2 linked regions of the Saccharomyces cerevisiae S288C genome follow. The protein of the gene in region 2 purifies or fractionates together with the protein of the main gene of each other region. This does not show direct contact. Each region holds a gene or a part of one and is shown on either strand. Other genes may lie near its edges.

The links.
Region 1: the proteins of SAM2 (region 2) and URK1 purify together in Saccharomyces cerevisiae (affinity purification with mass spectrometry, with the first as the bait; one large-scale study listed by BioGRID). This does not show direct contact.

Annotation. Positions count from the first base shown.
Region 1 is NC_001146.8:644,892-650,505, reverse strand, and holds URK1 (uridine kinase URK1), read right to left. Parts: upstream 3,075-5,614; coding exon 1,569-3,074; downstream 1-1,568. Other genes in the region: PHO91 (Pho91p), read left to right, coding at 1-1,478; DEAH-box RNA-dependent ATPase PRP2, read left to right, coding at 3,556-5,614. UniProt on the Saccharomyces cerevisiae protein: Catalyzes the conversion of uridine into UMP and cytidine into CMP in the pyrimidine salvage pathway.
Region 2 is NC_001136.10:1,447,217-1,460,076, reverse strand, and holds SAM2 (methionine adenosyltransferase SAM2), read left to right. Parts: upstream 1-5,612; coding exon 5,613-6,767; downstream 6,768-12,860. Other genes in the region: GMC1 (putative oxidoreductase), read left to right, coding at 1-349; PSP1 (Psp1p), read left to right, coding at 857-3,382; SPG3 (Spg3p), read left to right, coding at 3,383-3,766; phosphatidate phosphatase LPP1, read left to right, coding at 4,211-5,035; PLM2 (Plm2p), read right to left, coding at 7,159-8,724; 60S ribosomal protein eL37 RPL37B, read left to right, coding at 9,224-9,230, 9,620-9,879; LCD1 (Lcd1p), read right to left, coding at 10,004-12,247. UniProt on the Saccharomyces cerevisiae protein: Catalyzes the formation of S-adenosylmethionine from methionine and ATP. The reaction comprises two steps that are both catalyzed by the same enzyme: formation of S-adenosylmethionine (AdoMet) and triphosphate, and subsequent hydrolysis of the triphosphate.

The sequences.
Region 1 (5,614 bases), on a different chromosome or scaffold from region 2:
CGGATTCCCTAACTTTCCGTGAACTCATGCATTTACCACCCAAGCAATGGTTGCAATTTATCATGGGCCAAACTTCCCTGCTGAAGTTTCTGTTAATCACCTCATGTTTCATTGCATTATTAACTTTTAATTTGACTCCTTTTACGCAGGATTCCTTACAGAAAAACTGTTTCGCCATCTTAATATATGCATCTTTATTATGGGCCACTGAGACCATCCCCCTTTTCGTGACTTCTCTAATGATTCCTCTGCTTATTGTAGTGTTCCCTGTTATCAAGGACCCTATCACCTCCCAACCAATGTCTCCCCGTGATTCCTCTCAGTTCATCTTATCAACGATGTGGTCGAGTGTCATCATGCTTTTGCTGGGTGGGTTTACTTTAGCAGCCGCCCTTTCCAAGTACAACATTGCCAAAGTCCTTTCTACGCATATTTTGGCATCCGCCGGTACAAACCCACATTTTATTCTTTTAACAAATATGTTTGTGGCGCTCTTTGTTTCCATGTGGGTTTCTAATGTTGCTGCCCCCGTTCTTTGCTATTCAATTGTTCAACCTTTGCTCAGAACACTGCCAAGAAATTGTTCCTATGCCAAAGCTCTAATTCTTGGTATCGCTCTTGCCTCCAATATCGGTGGTATGTCTTCTCCCATCGCTTCTCCTCAAAACATTTTTTCTATTGGTATAATGGACCCTTCACCATCTTGGGCTGAATGGTTTATGATTGCGCTACCTGTGTGCTTTATTTGTGTCATGGCAATTTGGGTGCTATTGATCATAACCTTCCCTCCTGAGCCAAATGTGAAAATTTTGCAATTGCATCCATCCCGTGATCCATTCACTCTGAAGCAATGGTTTGTCACTTTAGTTTGCATTATAACAATTGTTCTTTGGTGTCTTTCAAACCAAATCTCCGGTATCTTTGGTGAAATGGGAATCATATCTATTATACCTATAGTAGTCTTCTTCGGTACAGGTCTTCTAACTTCGGATGATTTCAATAATTTCATGTGGACAATCGTTGTTTTGGCCATGGGAGGTACCACCCTAGGTAAGGCGGTAAGCTCATCCGGTTTATTGTCTACAATGGCACAGTTAATTAAGGCGCAGGTTGAGCATGAACCAATCTTCATTATTGTGTTGATCTTCGGTCTAGTGATTCTTGTAATGGCCACTTTTGTCTCCCATACCGTCGCGGCAATGATCATCGTACCATTAATGAGTGAGATCGGTTCCAATCTACCTTCAGGTGATCATTCTAGACTATTGATCGTTATAGCCGCCCTATTATGCTCTAGTGCTATGGGTCTTCCAACCTCTGGTTTCCCCAACGTGACTGCCATTTCAATGATTGATGAAGTTGGTGATAGATATTTGACCGTGGGTACATTTATTACGAGAGGTGTACCAGCCAGTTTGTTAAGTTATGCCGCTATTGTTACAGTAGGTTATGGCATATTGAAAGTAATGGGATTTTAAGATTATCCATAGAGAGAATGAAAGGTTACTAATATAGTATGTATACGTGCACTATTATTTAATTTTACTTTATATTGCCTCTAATTATTCTCAATCACAACCAAAATACTTTGAATCAAAAAATCTGGTCAATGCCCATTTGTATTGATGATTTTGTAACTTTTCTCTGGAGATGATCATACCAGCAAAAATGTTGACTTTGTTATCAAATGCATTTAATATACGTCGGATACCAACTTCAGTGGCCAAATAAACCACCACGCTAATCTTTTCCAAATCAATACCATGATCTAAAAGCACCTGGATGGCCATGATCATGGCCGCACCACTTATGATTTGACCTTCCATTAAGAAAACCTTGCCAAACTTTTCTATATTTGGGGGTAAAAATTCGCAATGCAGTTGAGGTTCCCCAGTTTGTGAATCGGACTGAATCAACAATTTACCAATTGTGATATTGGGGATCGTCTTTCTCAAAGACTTCATAAAACAATCGCCAGATCGAATAATATTAACAGCTGTAACTTGATCGAATTGACAGGCAATAACGTTTTCCATGGTATGCTCACCAGGTGTAATTATGTTCGTATGTGCTACAGGAATGTCATCAAGTGCCCATGATAACAAAATTGTTGCTAACCTGTCAAAGTAGAAAACAAAGTCCGCGCAATTTAGATTTTTATTTAGAAGCATAGTATGCAGCGAAAGAACTTGGTTGGTGGGCGGCAATTCATGAATTATGTTACGATTAAGCACATCTTGTGAAGGAGAAGAGCCCAATTTGATTAGCTCTCTTAAGTGTTCATTTGATTTTAGTTCCAGTTTTGACTTGATGTGGTTAATGATTAAATTTACCGCTGTAGCATTATCACTCATCGATGGAATGATAGCATCTGCATTCTTCATTGTTGGTTTCACAAACTTTACCGCATTTGGTTTCACAAATTTCTCCCATTGTTGAATACAACCATCCAAATCTCTCCCTCTGGAAACTATATCTCTCGACAATCTTCTTGCTAAGCAGACATCCAAATCAGCGTCAACATAAATTTTCAAGTCCATCAAATCCAGCAATCGGCGATCGTAAAGGGCGTAGATCCCTTCGATAACTACCACACTGGCCCCGTATATGACTATATTTTTATCAGGAACTCTATTGTGGTGGACGAAGCTATAAACTGGGATATTTGTCCTTTTGCCCTCCTTTAAGTTCAAAATGCACTTATATGCCAAATCTAAGTTGATGGCATTTGGCTCGTCGAAATCGTATTCATTTTTAAAGGCTCTGGCTCTGTCCTCTGGGCCTAATGGATTGTAAAAGTTATCCAAAGATATTAATACTGTCCAGGGAACATTAATTGACGACACAATCTTAGCAGCAACGCTTGTCTTGCCTGAACCTGAAGCACCACCTATACCTATTATATATGGAGTTGTCCATGGTGGGATATACCGAGAGCTTTTTCCTTTTGTTTTTTTGACATCTACTTCACCATCCATGACTGCATTAGCTTTCAATGTGTCTCTTGTTTCATCGTCTAAAATTGAAATAAATGATGAAGATCGTTCTTTGGAAGGTGCTATACGATGGGACATAATAAATAAAATAAATGCGAGTTCGAAATTAAACGTATGAAATTATCGAAGATGTCGCATATAAATAGTAAATAAGACGTTATCCAAGGCCTACAGCCTTACGAAAAAAAAAAAAAATCACATCTCTTATCTTATCGATCTAAATTTTTCAGTTTCCTTTTTTCATCTCGAAGCTCATCGCATGAAAAAAAAACTTCGATATGTGAGCGTATTAAGACAATAGAGGAAATAGTGAGAACAAGTGGGAAAATTAAAGACTAATCATCGAAAATATGCAAGAATTCTTTAAGTGCTCGTATCTCAAATGTAGCCAAAACAGTACTAGCCCATACAACCTGATGACGAGAACGTGCTGAAAGTGGAAGACAGTTAGTTACCCGGACAATTAAAAAGTGATATTAATCAATTGTATAAGTAATAACGGATAGCTGCTATATGTTTAATTGGCATCTATATAGATAACAAGCGTGTATAGCAACACATGTCAAGTATTACATCTGAAACCGGTAAGCGAAGAGTGAAACGAACGTATGAAGTTACAAGACAGAATGACAATGCAGTAAGAATAGAGCCTTCTTCCTTGGGTGAGGAAGAAGACAAAGAGGCCAAGGATAAGAACTCTGCCTTGCAGCTAAAACGATCACGCTATGACCCCAATAAAGTTTTTTCTAATACGAACCAAGGTCCAGAAAAGAACAATTTAAAAGGAGAACAACTTGGATCACAAAAAAAGTCATCAAAGTATGATGAAAAAATAACGTCAAATAATGAACTTACTACAAAGAAGGGTCTACTAGGTGACTCCGAGAATGAAACTAAGTACGCCTCTTCTAATTCTAAATTTAACGTAGAAGTTACTCATAAAATAAAGAATGCAAAAGAAATTGACAAAATAAACAGACAACGCATGTGGGAAGAACAACAATTGCGAAATGCTATGGCGGGGCAAAGCGATCACCCTGATGATATAACATTGGAAGGCTCTGACAAGTACGATTATGTGTTCGACACAGATGCAATGATTGATTATACTAATGAGGAGGACGATTTACTACCTGAAGAGAAACTTCAATATGAGGCACGTCTAGCACAAGCTTTAGAAACTGAGGAAAAGCGTATACTGACTATACAAGAGGCAAGAAAACTTTTGCCTGTACATCAATACAAGGATGAGCTACTACAAGAGATCAAAAAAAATCAAGTTTTGATTATAATGGGTGAAACCGGTTCTGGTAAAACCACACAGTTACCCCAATATTTGGTAGAAGATGGATTCACTGATCAGGGAAAGTTACAGATTGCCATAACACAACCACGTCGTGTGGCGGCCACTTCTGTTGCTGCAAGAGTAGCAGATGAAATGAATGTTGTGCTTGGGAAGGAAGTGGGTTATCAGATCCGTTTTGAAGACAAAACAACCCCAAATAAAACGGTTCTAAAGTATATGACGGATGGTATGTTACTAAGAGAATTTCTTACAGATTCCAAATTAAGCAAATATTCTTGTATTATGATTGATGAAGCTCATGAACGTACTCTAGCCACAGATATCCTGATAGGTTTGCTGAAAGATATTTTGCCGCAGAGGCCCACTTTAAAATTGCTTATATCATCAGCAACAATGAACGCAAAAAAATTTTCAGAGTTTTTTGATAATTGTCCCATTTTCAACGTTCCTGGGAGAAGATATCCTGTAGATATCCACTACACATTACAGCCGGAGGCAAACTATATACATGCCGCTATAACAACTATTTTTCAAATTCATACTACGCAAAGTTTACCGGGGGATATATTGGTGTTTTTAACGGGGCAAGAAGAAATTGAAAGAACAAAAACCAAACTGGAGGAGATCATGTCTAAATTAGGTTCTAGAACAAAACAAATGATTATAACTCCTATATACGCAAATTTACCCCAAGAGCAGCAATTGAAAATTTTCCAGCCGACTCCGGAAAATTGTAGGAAAGTTGTTTTGGCAACTAATATTGCGGAAACTTCATTGACCATTGATGGTATTAGATATGTCATTGATCCTGGATTTGTTAAGGAAAATTCGTACGTACCCTCCACTGGAATGACCCAACTTTTAACAGTTCCATGCTCAAGAGCTTCAGTTGATCAGCGTGCCGGTAGGGCTGGTCGTGTTGGGCCGGGAAAATGTTTTAGAATTTTTACCAAATGGTCATATTTGCACGAGTTGGAACTTATGCCTAAGCCTGAGATCACAAGAACAAATCTTTCTAATACGGTGTTATTATTATTATCGCTTGGCGTTACTGACCTAATAAAGTTTCCCCTGATGGATAAGCCCAGTATCCCCACATTACGGAAGTCTTTGGAAAATTTATACATTTTAGGTGCCTTAAATAGCAAAGGGACAATCACTCGGTTAGGTAAAATGATGTGCGAGTTTCCTTGTGAACCTGAATTTGCAAAAGTGCTTTATACAGCTGCTACGCACGAACAATGTCAAGGTGTACTAGAAGAGTGTTTGACCATAGTTTCGATGCTACATGAAACACCTTCATTATTTATTG
Region 2 (12,860 bases):
CCTGGCCCGAACCGGAAAGGCACCGATGGTAAGGGATAGCATTAACATTGCAGGAAATTCTTACGCGGTTTTGAGAATTAACACCGAGATGCCCGGAAAATGGCTTTTACATTGTCATGTGGAGTGGCACATGATGAAGGGGCTTGGCATTGTCTTTGAGGTTCCGACAACAACCGAGGACAGTACCAAACAAGCAACTACAGCTGTATTATCGTACCCTACCAAGGAACCTGACCCTAACACTGTTGTCCATACAGCCGCACTTGAACAAAATAAGTCCAAGGTAATAGCCGTCTACATCCTAATCATGTGTGCGGTTGATGCTATCTTCTACTGGTTGCTCATGTAATCACATCCATTTCTCCCAACTCATTGCTTTTTTTCGCTTTTCCCACAGCCGTTTACAAGGCCGCAAAAAAGAAAACCCGCAAAGCTGACGGAAAAAGTATCGGCTAGCTTTCCATTGGCGACAATCGCCTCCGAGTGCGAAAACCTGTATTTCTCTGACTGCCGTAGGTCATATAGGATTGGGTCATAACGGTTTTTTGGAGACGAATCCTTCCCCTAATCGTGTTGGATAACATTACGGATCCGTGTTTTAGCTAAAGGAACAAAACAAAAATAAATAAAGGATAAGAAGAAGGATTCACTGATAATTAAGAGCTGTATTTTTCATTGGTTCGGCAGTTAGAAACAGAGATAGCATCAGTTCGAGTGTTCTTTGATATAGTAAACAGCGTATATAGAAAAGAATAAAGTGTATTGAAAGGCTCAAGAGAATTATAGAGAAAAAAACGAAGGATAAATCAAAAAAAGCGGTGTCTGATACAGTGCTCAATAGAAATACAGTTGCAAAATGGACCTCCCAACTGTTAATAGCACAACAAGCATTTCCGACAATGTGGATTTAAAGAACTACTATGAGGACTTGCTTTTCAAGAATAACAGCGGAAAATCGCTATCCGATTTACCCCGTAAACTGAATGATAACTCCAATAATTCAGGAAGTGATACGGTTGATCCGCTTGCTGGCCTGAATAATTTGAGAAACTCAATAAAAAGTGCGGGAAATGGTATGGAAAACAGGAGGACTTTTGACGATATTGATTTTATGGGTAGGTTTCCGTATTTGCCACCAGTGCCAAATCAACAACAGCAACCGTTTTCTCACCAGAACGGGTTCATTCAAGAACACCCTTCCAGTAATTTGACCTCTTTTCAAATGTCTTCGTCTAATTCAGAGCCGATGTCCGCACCGCCCATTTCATCCAATAACAATAATTTAAACTCTACTCAAATGGGTAATTATCAAGCTCAACAACGGTCGTTCCCGCAATTTAATGGAAATTCATTTCATTCAAATGGAAACGACCTAATGGGGAATCGGATGGATTCAGACTACATGCGTTTAATGAATAAAACAAACATAGGTTTTACTTCCAATAGCGGCAGCAATTTTGCTGCCCCATCACACAGTGCTGGCAACCCATCTAGTATGAACAACCAACAAGTACCATCATTTAATTGGCAACAGCCATCTCATCCAGAGTCTACCATTAGGAGATCCTCCTACATATCAGATACTCTAATCAACCATCAAATGCCTGACGCTCGGCAAAAGCAAACATCCCAAGTGCAGCAGCAACACGCTCAAGGTTTCAATCTTTTCAATAGCAGATTCAACTATGACAACTTGAACTCAACCCATTTGACCGCCAAAGGTGTGCCCGAGTTTGGAAATGGTGTACAACCTCCGTATCCTTATGATAACGAGCCTAATAATGCCAGTATCAGCAATAGTAATAACAACAACAACAGTCACAATATGGTTCCAATGCAACAGTTTCGCCGGAATACACAACCGGTAGCGAGCTTCAATCCATCCCTTCCTACTTTTCAACAACAACAGCAACAACCACAACAACCACAACAACCAAGAAACGTTAATGTACCTACTTCTTTCAATGGCGAACGTGTTGATGATGTTCAGCTTGTTCAACTTCAAAGAAGCAGTTCTGTCCCTTCTTCTACAAACTCACATAACCTTCAGAACGAGAACAGCAATGAAGGAAATGTATCTTTGGACAATGGTTTAGTTTTAATTCAGGGTAAACACTTGACTTCGTCCAAAACCTTACACGATTTATACAGCGACTGTGGCAGCGGCTATTTTGCTAGCTCTGCAGTTTTTGAATTCACAGATAATATTAAGAAAATGCTGAAGTTGCACGATTCTAATGAAAGTTACGACGCGAAGAACATGGGCTTAATCGATGAAGAAGGTAATACATACCAATCTTTATTAAATTTCTTGGACATTTTAAGAAGTTGCAACATGAATTACGTTAATGATCCAGAGTCGAATAATGGAATTGTTTCCAATAATGGAGGCAATAAAAATAGGAGGAAGGGCTCTTTCACAACAGAACTATCATGCAGGAATGCTAATAACTCCTTTTTACCTTATACACCATTGGTACTGGTTGCTTTGAAAAATGGGAAACTTGAACTACTATCTACTCCACAAGCTACCAATTTGTTGTTAAAGAGAGGTGACTTGGTTATTATTGATGGTGACCGTGGAAGGGATTTAGTATTGGTTGTTGAGCCCTCTGTCGATTTGAATTTAGCATTATTTATAAATTTTCTGAAAAAGAAAATTCACTTTGACTCTTTAATTACAAGTGAGTCACAGCACTATCGCAATGATGAGTTTATTCAAATGTTGATTGACTCAAAAAATGGGCAAAAGAAAAAATTAAATCCCAAATTGTATGATGTTGTTGAATTAACTGAGTTAATCATACCATCTAAACAAGTCTTACGTTTTGCCACCCCGTGGGAGGTAACAACGAATTTGCACAATAAATTTGAAGATGAATTAAAAGCCTTGCATATTGCTCAGAGTAAATTACAAGCGTTAAATGATAATTCAAAATCTCAAAATACAAATGACAGTTCTTCCAATAATTTTACGAATGCTGCAACTTATTCAAAGCCTAAATTGAATATCAAGATTTTAAACGCAGAATTCCAATTTGATAGAAAGAAATTAACGTTTTACTACGTTTGTGAGGAGAGAAATGATTTTAGAGACTTGATAAAAGAGCTGTTCAAATATTACAAGACAAGAATTTGGTTGTGTGCCATCCCGAATAATCTGTCTATTGATTCTAAGTATTATGATAAACAACAAAAAGAGCTGAAATTATATCAAAACATAGTAAAAAATTACAATGCTGAAGATTTAATGAATGTCAATGAGTTTTCGCAGAACAGGGGGAATAACAGAGTTAATTTTGCACCTCCGTTGAACGAAATTGAACTCGACAACTTTCAGATTGCTGTGTATGAAGAATTAGTTCACGAATTATTTCATTAAATGATCTGTTATTTCCTTGTTGTAACTATAAATTTTCTAAAAGAAAAGACAACCATTTGCCATTATTTTGTTAACATTTTTTCATTGTTTTTGTTTTTGTTTGTTTTTGTTTTTGTTTTTATTTTTGTCTACTTTTTTTATGTTATTTTGTTTTATCGTTTCTGTTCGTTGTTTACCTATTTTCCTGCCAATTCAATTTGGTACTATCTTTCTATTATCAATATTTTCTTTCCCTTATGTTTTTTTCTATATGAAAACTTCACAGGGAGAAATAGAAGAAAATGTTCATTATTCTGTTTAACTTTGATAAAAATTACTTATACGTCTCCCAATCATGGTTTCATGGTCACTGGTAAGGAAAAATTCGAAAAACTACGGGACTAAAAATTTTTTAAAGATTGTCCATATTCCTCGATCCACACTTTCAAGTTTGAGATTTATTGTTGGCAACTTTCTTACATTTTTGTTGTTTCAACTTCTATTTTATATTCTAACAGCCGCTTCCATTTATTTTTCATAGGCTTTATATAAAAAACAAAAAATAATGGAATCAACCAACCCTTATAAACTTATATGTAGTTTACATTTAATCAAGGTCTGTTATCGTGGCTATTGCTCTAATTCATTATTTGTCGACATGTATTGGTTGATAATTTTTGTTTTGGTTCACGCGTAAGAATTTTTTTTCTTGTAGTTGCCACGTGAAACCTGACAACTTATAGTCTTTAAGGGAAGAAAGAAAGCCATTCTTTGAAGTGATTTTACTGCTTTCAAGAGTGAGAAACTCCTACATCAACGCCTAAGGAAACTCGTCATATTCTACCAAGGATGATCTCTGTCATGGCGGATGAGAAACATAAGGAGTATTTTAAGCTATACTACTTTCAGTACATGATAATTGGTCTATGTACGATATTATTCCTCTATTCGGAGATATCCCTGGTACCTAGGGGCCAAAACATCGAATTTAGTCTTGATGACCCCAGTATATCAAAACGTTATGTACCTAACGAACTCGTGGGCCCACTAGAATGTTTGATTTTGAGTGTTGGACTGAGTAACATGGTCGTCTTCTGGACCTGCATGTTTGACAAGGACTTACTGAAGAAGAATAGAGTAAAGAGACTAAGAGAGAGGCCGGACGGAATCTCGAACGATTTTCACTTCATGCATACTAGCATTCTATGTCTGATGCTGATTATAAGCATAAATGCTGCCCTAACAGGCGCCTTAAAGTTGATTATAGGAAACTTGAGGCCTGACTTTGTTGATAGATGTATACCTGACCTCCAAAAGATGAGTGATTCAGATTCTTTGGTTTTTGGCTTGGACATTTGCAAGCAGACTAACAAATGGATTCTATACGAAGGCTTAAAAAGCACTCCAAGCGGACATTCAAGTTTCATAGTCAGTACCATGGGCTTTACATATCTTTGGCAAAGGGTTTTCACCACACGCAATACAAGAAGTTGCATTTGGTGCCCTTTATTAGCTCTAGTAGTAATGGTTTCAAGGGTTATCGATCACAGACATCATTGGTACGATGTTGTCTCTGGAGCTGTTCTAGCATTTTTAGTCATTTATTGTTGCTGGAAATGGACATTTACAAACTTGGCGAAAAGAGACATACTTCCTTCACCGGTTAGTGTTTAGTAACACTTACAGAGTCCTATCAGGAAAGAATAAAAGCCGATCAAGCTTCATTCTCAGGTAACAACTGGAGCACTGGCGAGCTTTGCTCTATTATATAAGATAAAATATGCACTAAAAGTTTGCATTTCTTTACATAACTAAAACTAAGACATTATGCATAGCTTACCTGATCAAAAAGTATGTAAACTTGTTAACATCTTCACATGTGATTCATCTGGTCGTACTTTCTTGCGGTGCAGTGTAATATTTCTACCCACGTGACTATAATTGAGCTTGAAAACTGTGGCGTTTTTCCACCGATGGGTCCACGCCAGATATTAACCGAAGCCAAAATACCGATGAAATTTCTGAGATAGCTCTTGTAAACGACGTCAAATCTTCATATGCAAGGAGATCTTGATTTCTTTTTGGTAGTCATCTGTCGTCTTGAGGCGTATAAGAAGGAGGTTATATCTGTCCTTTCTACAAAGTATTTTCGAGAATCTTGCTTCTGCCCCTTTTTTCTTTTTTTAAAAGGTTTAAAAAACATAACTGTCTTCAATATATCCAGTATTTACGACAATATACAAACATAATCATGTCCAAGAGCAAAACTTTCTTATTTACCTCTGAATCCGTCGGTGAAGGTCACCCAGACAAGATTTGTGACCAAGTTTCTGATGCTATTTTGGACGCTTGTTTAGAACAAGATCCATTCTCCAAGGTTGCCTGTGAAACAGCTGCCAAAACTGGTATGATTATGGTTTTCGGTGAAATTACCACCAAAGCTAGACTTGACTACCAACAAATAGTAAGAGATACCATCAAGAAGATTGGTTATGACGATTCTGCCAAGGGTTTCGACTACAAGACATGTAATGTTTTAGTAGCTATCGAACAACAATCTCCAGATATCGCTCAAGGTCTGCACTATGAAAAGAGCTTAGAAGACTTAGGTGCTGGTGACCAAGGTATAATGTTTGGTTACGCTACAGACGAAACTCCAGAAGGGTTACCATTGACCATTCTTTTGGCTCACAAATTGAACATGGCTATGGCAGATGCTAGAAGAGATGGTTCTCTCCCATGGTTGAGACCAGACACAAAGACTCAAGTCACTGTCGAATACGAAGACGACAATGGTAGATGGGTTCCAAAGAGGATAGATACCGTTGTTATTTCTGCTCAACATGCTGATGAAATTTCCACCGCTGACTTGAGAACTCAACTTCAAAAAGATATTGTTGAAAAGGTCATACCAAAGGATATGTTAGACGAAAATACCAAATATTTCATCCAACCATCCGGTAGATTCGTCATCGGTGGTCCTCAAGGTGACGCTGGTTTGACCGGTAGAAAGATTATTGTCGACGCTTACGGTGGTGCCTCATCCGTCGGTGGTGGTGCCTTCTCCGGTAAGGACTATTCCAAGGTCGATCGTTCCGCTGCTTACGCTGCTAGATGGGTTGCCAAGTCTCTAGTTGCCGCTGGTTTGTGTAAGAGAGTCCAAGTCCAATTTTCATATGCTATTGGTATTGCTGAACCATTGTCTTTACATGTGGACACCTATGGTACAGCTACAAAATCAGATGACGAAATCATTGAAATTATTAAGAAGAACTTCGACTTGAGACCAGGTGTGTTAGTAAAGGAATTAGATTTGGCTAGACCAATTTACTTACCAACCGCTTCTTATGGTCACTTCACTAATCAAGAGTACTCATGGGAAAAACCAAAGAAATTGGAATTTTAAACATTTAGACAATAAATGTTTTATTTTGATTTTTATAATTATTTCAATCCCTTTCTTTATGCTAGGCTGGTCCCGATCACCTCCCTATATTGAGAAGACGATGCCTTATCGTTTGATTCGCTCAACTCGAGTCATGTAATTACTAGAAAATGATACAATAGAAAAGTTTTAAACATTCTTAAACTTGACAAACACCAATAGAATAACATCTAGGCATAATGATCTATTTTGTATGGATTATGTATTAGCTCCTTCAACGGAAATATATAGAAAATATTACTTTATGTTTTTAGAACTTTTTGACGAGTTTTACCAGTTTTTTTCATGATGCTCCACGTGGTAATATGACTATGCTATGGAAATAAGGTTGAAATATAGAATGTCTTTGAGGTTATTTGGTCGGCCTCTTCCAGAAATACTGTTTATGTTTCTTCCTGCACGACCTTAATCGGCTCCTGCCTTTTAACGAATTATACAAAATCTTTCTCTCGTCGCTATCATCGTTTTCAACATCATAGTAATACTCGTCTTCTAATGGCTTGCCAGACGCATCTTTTCCTTCACGCACAATAATACCAATGCAAGAAATAGTCTCCAAGACCTTTTTTAGTTCATCTTTGCTTAATTGTGAAGTGTTGGAATTGATGTTTTGCAATTGGGATAAAGGCGTTTGTTGAAGGTTAGAAAATGCAAGATGATTACATAGCACATGAACTAGGTCATCAAACCGAATTCCTCTTTCTGAGAGCGACCGAGAAATTTCGGGAATAATATTCAATGAAGTCTTAAGACGTTTTTGTGCAGGAGATACAATCGCGGTTGTAGAAGACAGCTCTTTAGTTTTTTTTGCAACTGCTGCGAAAGATTCTTCTTCATTAATGCCACCACTCCTAGTACTGGCACTTAATGTCCCAATTATTTTATCTTTAGGAAGTGGTGTCTCTTGTATAGTGTTATTTTTCAATGAAATTGATTTACGCTTCAGTTTCTTTGGAGTTGATGGCTGATTAATAACGAAAGATGTTTGGGGTGTTGTTCTATAACTAATGGGGGAGTTTTTCACAAGAGCAGGAGATGCAATAAGTAATGGTTTTGAGATCTGTTCTGTACGAGGTGAATGCTCAACTGGGACAAATTTCATCGAAGGTGTTTCTTTTTGCCAAGAAAAATCATCGCTCGTTGTTGTTAATAAACACAACTCATCCTCCGTTTCTGTCGAGTTCTCTTCGTCAAAGTTATTGTTGCCATCGCCAGGATAAGGTGCTACTTTTTTCAATGAAAGACAGACTGTGACGCCTGTAAAATTTATGAAACTTCCTTGGATATAGGGGAAAGTAACAGTTTCACCTTTAGCCAAAACAAAGCTGATGAAGTTTTGGTTCTTTTGAAGAGTTTTTCCATGCGATTGTTTAGTATTTTGCGAGGTCAAAGGCTCTTCTGCCACTAGTTTATAAAAGTTCCTTGTTGGGAAGGGTTTTACCAAATGCAACTGCATGGAGTAAGGCAAGTGAACGGACAACCCATTAGTTCCATTACATTCCAATTTTATTTCATTTCTGTCGGCGGCGTATGAAATAAAAGCGTGCTGCCTAGAGATATTCTTTCTGCATGGCAAAATAATGTTGCAGACTGATTTTTTCCTACCGATGGCTAAACGTGAGGGATCCGATGCATCTAATTCAATCTCGATAGGGCCTGCAAGCACCTTTTCTTGCTTTGAAGGAGATGACAAGGCAGATTTGGTCTCATTTAAACGTGAAGTGATATCTTTCACTGGTGAAGATTGTCTTCCGATGCTAGACGACGGGTCTGGAGTAGGATACTCTTCCAATTCGTAATTATACCGTTTTCTTCCTAAGGTCAATACAGAAGTATTAGCAAGCTTACCAGGTTCTTTTTGTGGGCTTTCCAAAGGTTTACCAGCAACTGGTGATGATGGTGGGAAGAGATGGGACATAACCAAAATTGTGACGATTTTGTCGTGAAACTTCTAGCGAAAAGACTAATGAAATCGGCAAATATTGTGTAAATAGTATACCAAAAAAAAAAACGCTTCTATATATTGTTCCCCGTTGCTAGTAACGATAGAAACGGCAAATAAGGAGAGAAATTAAACTTTCTTGGGAGAGGCAGAAGTGTTTACTTATTCTTCTGAAACAAAAACAAACGCGAAAAAAAAATTATCGCGTTTGGATTATCATTATTTAGACATTAACACCTGTACATATTTGTATTTTAAAAGCCGAACATTTTTGGGTTCTATATCAGTTTTTTTTTTCTTCAAGCACTCCGTACACCACTAATATTATCACTGAGAATCTTCCTGCCACTTGCGGGAAGGATGAGATTGGAAACATGGCTGGAATAGTAAGCATAGGTTACTATAGAAAGCGGTAACAAAAAGCACTACTATGTGTAGATAAAGAACAAAGAGGTAAACGAATATATAAGTAAAGATGGGTAGTATGTACAGGAATTATTAATTGATGAGTCAACGTTCAATCACATCCGGTCTGATTTAGAGGATTACATGAGAAAGAAGCACTGAAAAAATTTTCCACCAGGAGAGGCCAGGTAAACTAAGACCTACGTTATTCACTATGCCAAAAGATTTAAAAATATAGAATGATGAATGTTGCCAGAGCCATTGATGATAAGAAATTGCACATAACGGATGCATAAAGAGCGAATAAAAAGATTTGAGTGTCAATACAAAAAGGTGAGAAGAAATAGTGTAAGACAGCAACACACATCTAGACCGCCAATGAAGTTGTTCTGAATCCAGCAGTAGAGTTTATTTAGTTCAAAGTTTTACTAACGATAATTAACTTTTATGTTTTCATTTTAAACAGAGGGTACTCCTTCATTCGGTAAGCGTCACAACAAATCTCACACCTTGTGTAACAGATGTGGTCGTCGTTCTTTCCATGTTCAAAAGAAGACCTGTTCCTCTTGTGGTTACCCATCCGCTAAGACTAGATCTCACAACTGGGCTGCCAAGGCAAAGAGAAGACACACTACTGGTACCGGTAGAATGAGATATTTGAAGCATGTCTCCAGAAGATTTAAGAACGGTTTCCAAACCGGTTCTGCTAAGGCTACTTCTGCTTAAATTTGATATTATCTATAAGTTTTGTTCTTTCCTAAAACGAAAATAATATAAATTATATATAGTTAATATTAAGCATTACAAGGTTTCTATAAAGCGTTGACATTTTCCCCTTTTGATTGTTGCCTTACAGTCCCATTGAGATATATAATGAATCGGCCTCCTCTAGTGTGGTTAGATCGAATGATTTTGACTCAAGAATAGTTCTTGCCATTTCTTGAAATTTCTCATCGTACTTTACTTGCATTATTCTCCCCGTTCTTTTATTCAATTGCATCTTCAATTCTTCTTCGATATATTCTGGTAAATCCTCAAAGGCATCTTCGTAATAAGAGGCTTGATCCTTTATCGTCAGATCATGCAAACTATCTACAAGGTGTCGATGATCTCTCATTTCTCTTTCGTTTGCTGTCACAGTTTCGGTTTGGCATACGAGAAACCTCCATAGTGACATAATCAATTGGCTTTCTACCTGCTTGATTTGTTCTTCACGCAATTGTTTGAAATGGTCTTTCCATAGCCTATATATTATGGTTAAAGTATGTTCAATAAGATGGCATCTGAGGTCCAAGTTCGGGGAGTCTTGTCCCACGTACCTTTCTATCATTAACGCTTGCTCCCTGGATAAGAATTTAGAGGAGTGGATGAGCATTTCTCCATTTACTATGGTCGCATCGTCTCCATAGATCATTAATAAATTTTCAAAAATATTTAAAACTTCATCTTTTAACTTCAAAAGCCATTTTTCCATCTTGTAACCTATTATAGGGGCAGTGAATTTGTCGCTATCCATCCCAATATCCTCTTTAGAAATTACCCTTGGGACACTTTGCAATCGGTCAGTATAAATCAGCTTTGATATCAATCCTCCCAATTCATTATCACCTATATTTCGGATTAACCCAAAAAAGTCATGGTACTTCGACATATGAAGAGTTGTAGTATCCACATTTTCATTATATACGTCGCCACTCTTAATTTCCTTTTCCAAAAGAGCGTATAATCTTGTAATACAATCTCTCCACCAACTACCGCTTATCAAGGATTTCAGATCTGAGGAATTGTCCATATTTAATATTATACTAGTGATAATATTAACGACCTCGACTGCACTAAATATTACATTTACCATTGGCTTGTATGAAATGGTTAGTGCTAGTTTGTAGACAAATTCAAATGATTTTAGAATATTTTCATCAAAAAATTCCATATAAGTTTGCTTAGGATGCGACTGCAGTACCCTTAATATACCTTCTAGGAGATCAAAGGAATACGAAATTATCAAATAGTCTATCAGTTCATATTGGAAAATCTGAGGTTCTACATGCAAATTCATATTTGATTCATGTATCGGTACTTTCAATACATGATGATAGATTCTTATTAAATCGCAAATAAAAAGAAAACAATCCTTCAGTGCTAAATTATGAGTGGCACTAGGACGAAATTGTACAATCTGATACATCAATGCAACGAGAAATGGGACAGCTAATTTCGATTCATTTGGATGAACTGATATTTCCTTGATCAAAACAGCTATATCCTCTAGCAAAGTATCTATGAACCTGTCGAGGGTCAACGTCTTTTTACATCGCAAAAGTAGAGAAACTATGGACTTCCCTATGGGGGCTCCTTTAGCAATGACGAAATTCTTAAATTTAAACTCTGTGATGTAGTCAAGCTTCAATCTATTTAATATTTCTATTGTGCTCAGGTCAGCGCCTATTATTTGATGAAGTAATATTGACTCTAGAAATAAACTCGTTTCATCGGGAATAATCCTATTTGGGTTTAGGGGAACCATATTTTTTTTCAGTAAATTATCACTTATCTTACGTTTTTTTGATTGTGGTGATTGAGGTTTTGCTTCGATTGCAACTGAGGACGAATCTGGCGTTATAGTGTTTGTGTTTGTTGATAATGTTGTTGACGGTGGTTTTACATTCGTAATAACTTCCCTTTTCGATTTTCCTCTCGCTTCCATCTGTAAGAACTTCTTCTCATCTTCCAGTTTCTGTAATTCTTGTTTTAATTTAGCCAACTCTTGAAGATGCTTGACTTGCAATTCATTAACTTTGACGGCTTGAATATTCTTTTCCTTTTCCCTTTCAATGTTCAAAAAGTTTATTTTATCACGAAGCATGCTTGCTTCACCTTGAGCTTTATTCAGTTGGTTAACCAGTTGGTTATCATTTTTACTCTGTTTATTGTTTAATGTGGTCGTTGTAACCTCCAAAGTAGTGGGAATTTGTGTTTGTAATGCTGCTGATGATGGCGGTATTTGAGTAAACCTTGGAGGCCTGGTGCCTAATTCCAAAAGAATATCATCATCGTCATCTGAAGAAAATTCACCCACCGTTTCTCGTCTCATCTATAATAGAAATATGCAAAAGAGTTTGATGATTGTGTTGACGTTTCGTGCACTATCGCGTATTTGTTTGCTTTTTATTTTATTGCATGTGCTGTTTTCCCCAAAAAATCGATGGAACGCTCGGATTTGGCTAGAGGCGGGAAAAATCACCAATAATCGAAGAAAATAGAAGAACCAAGATACTAATAGCTCTTTGTAAGATAAATTTTGGAGTTACTACAGGTTACTATCCTTATTCAGAGACTTTTTACTGCTTTGCTCCTAATATTTAGTAGGAAAGAGCGAGCCTGTCTGACTCTTTTTTTTTTAAAAAAATTCAAGGTAAAACCTAACTAAACATAAAATTTCCACTCGAGTTATTCCGCTTAAAAGTGCTTAACATCGGTGCCACACAATACGAACCTTAGTAGAGAACCGACCGTTACCTCTTTATTAGCCCTAGTTTGTACCACTTAAGCTCTAATTCCAATCTAATGTGTGTGTATTTTTTTCTATTGTTAGCGCCGCACCAAAGAGGATCATGGTAAATACAATTACATAAAGAAAAGAAAAGCAACAAAACAGCTTCGTTTGCACCTTTAGCAAACGTTGGAATTTTCCTAATCTCAAAACA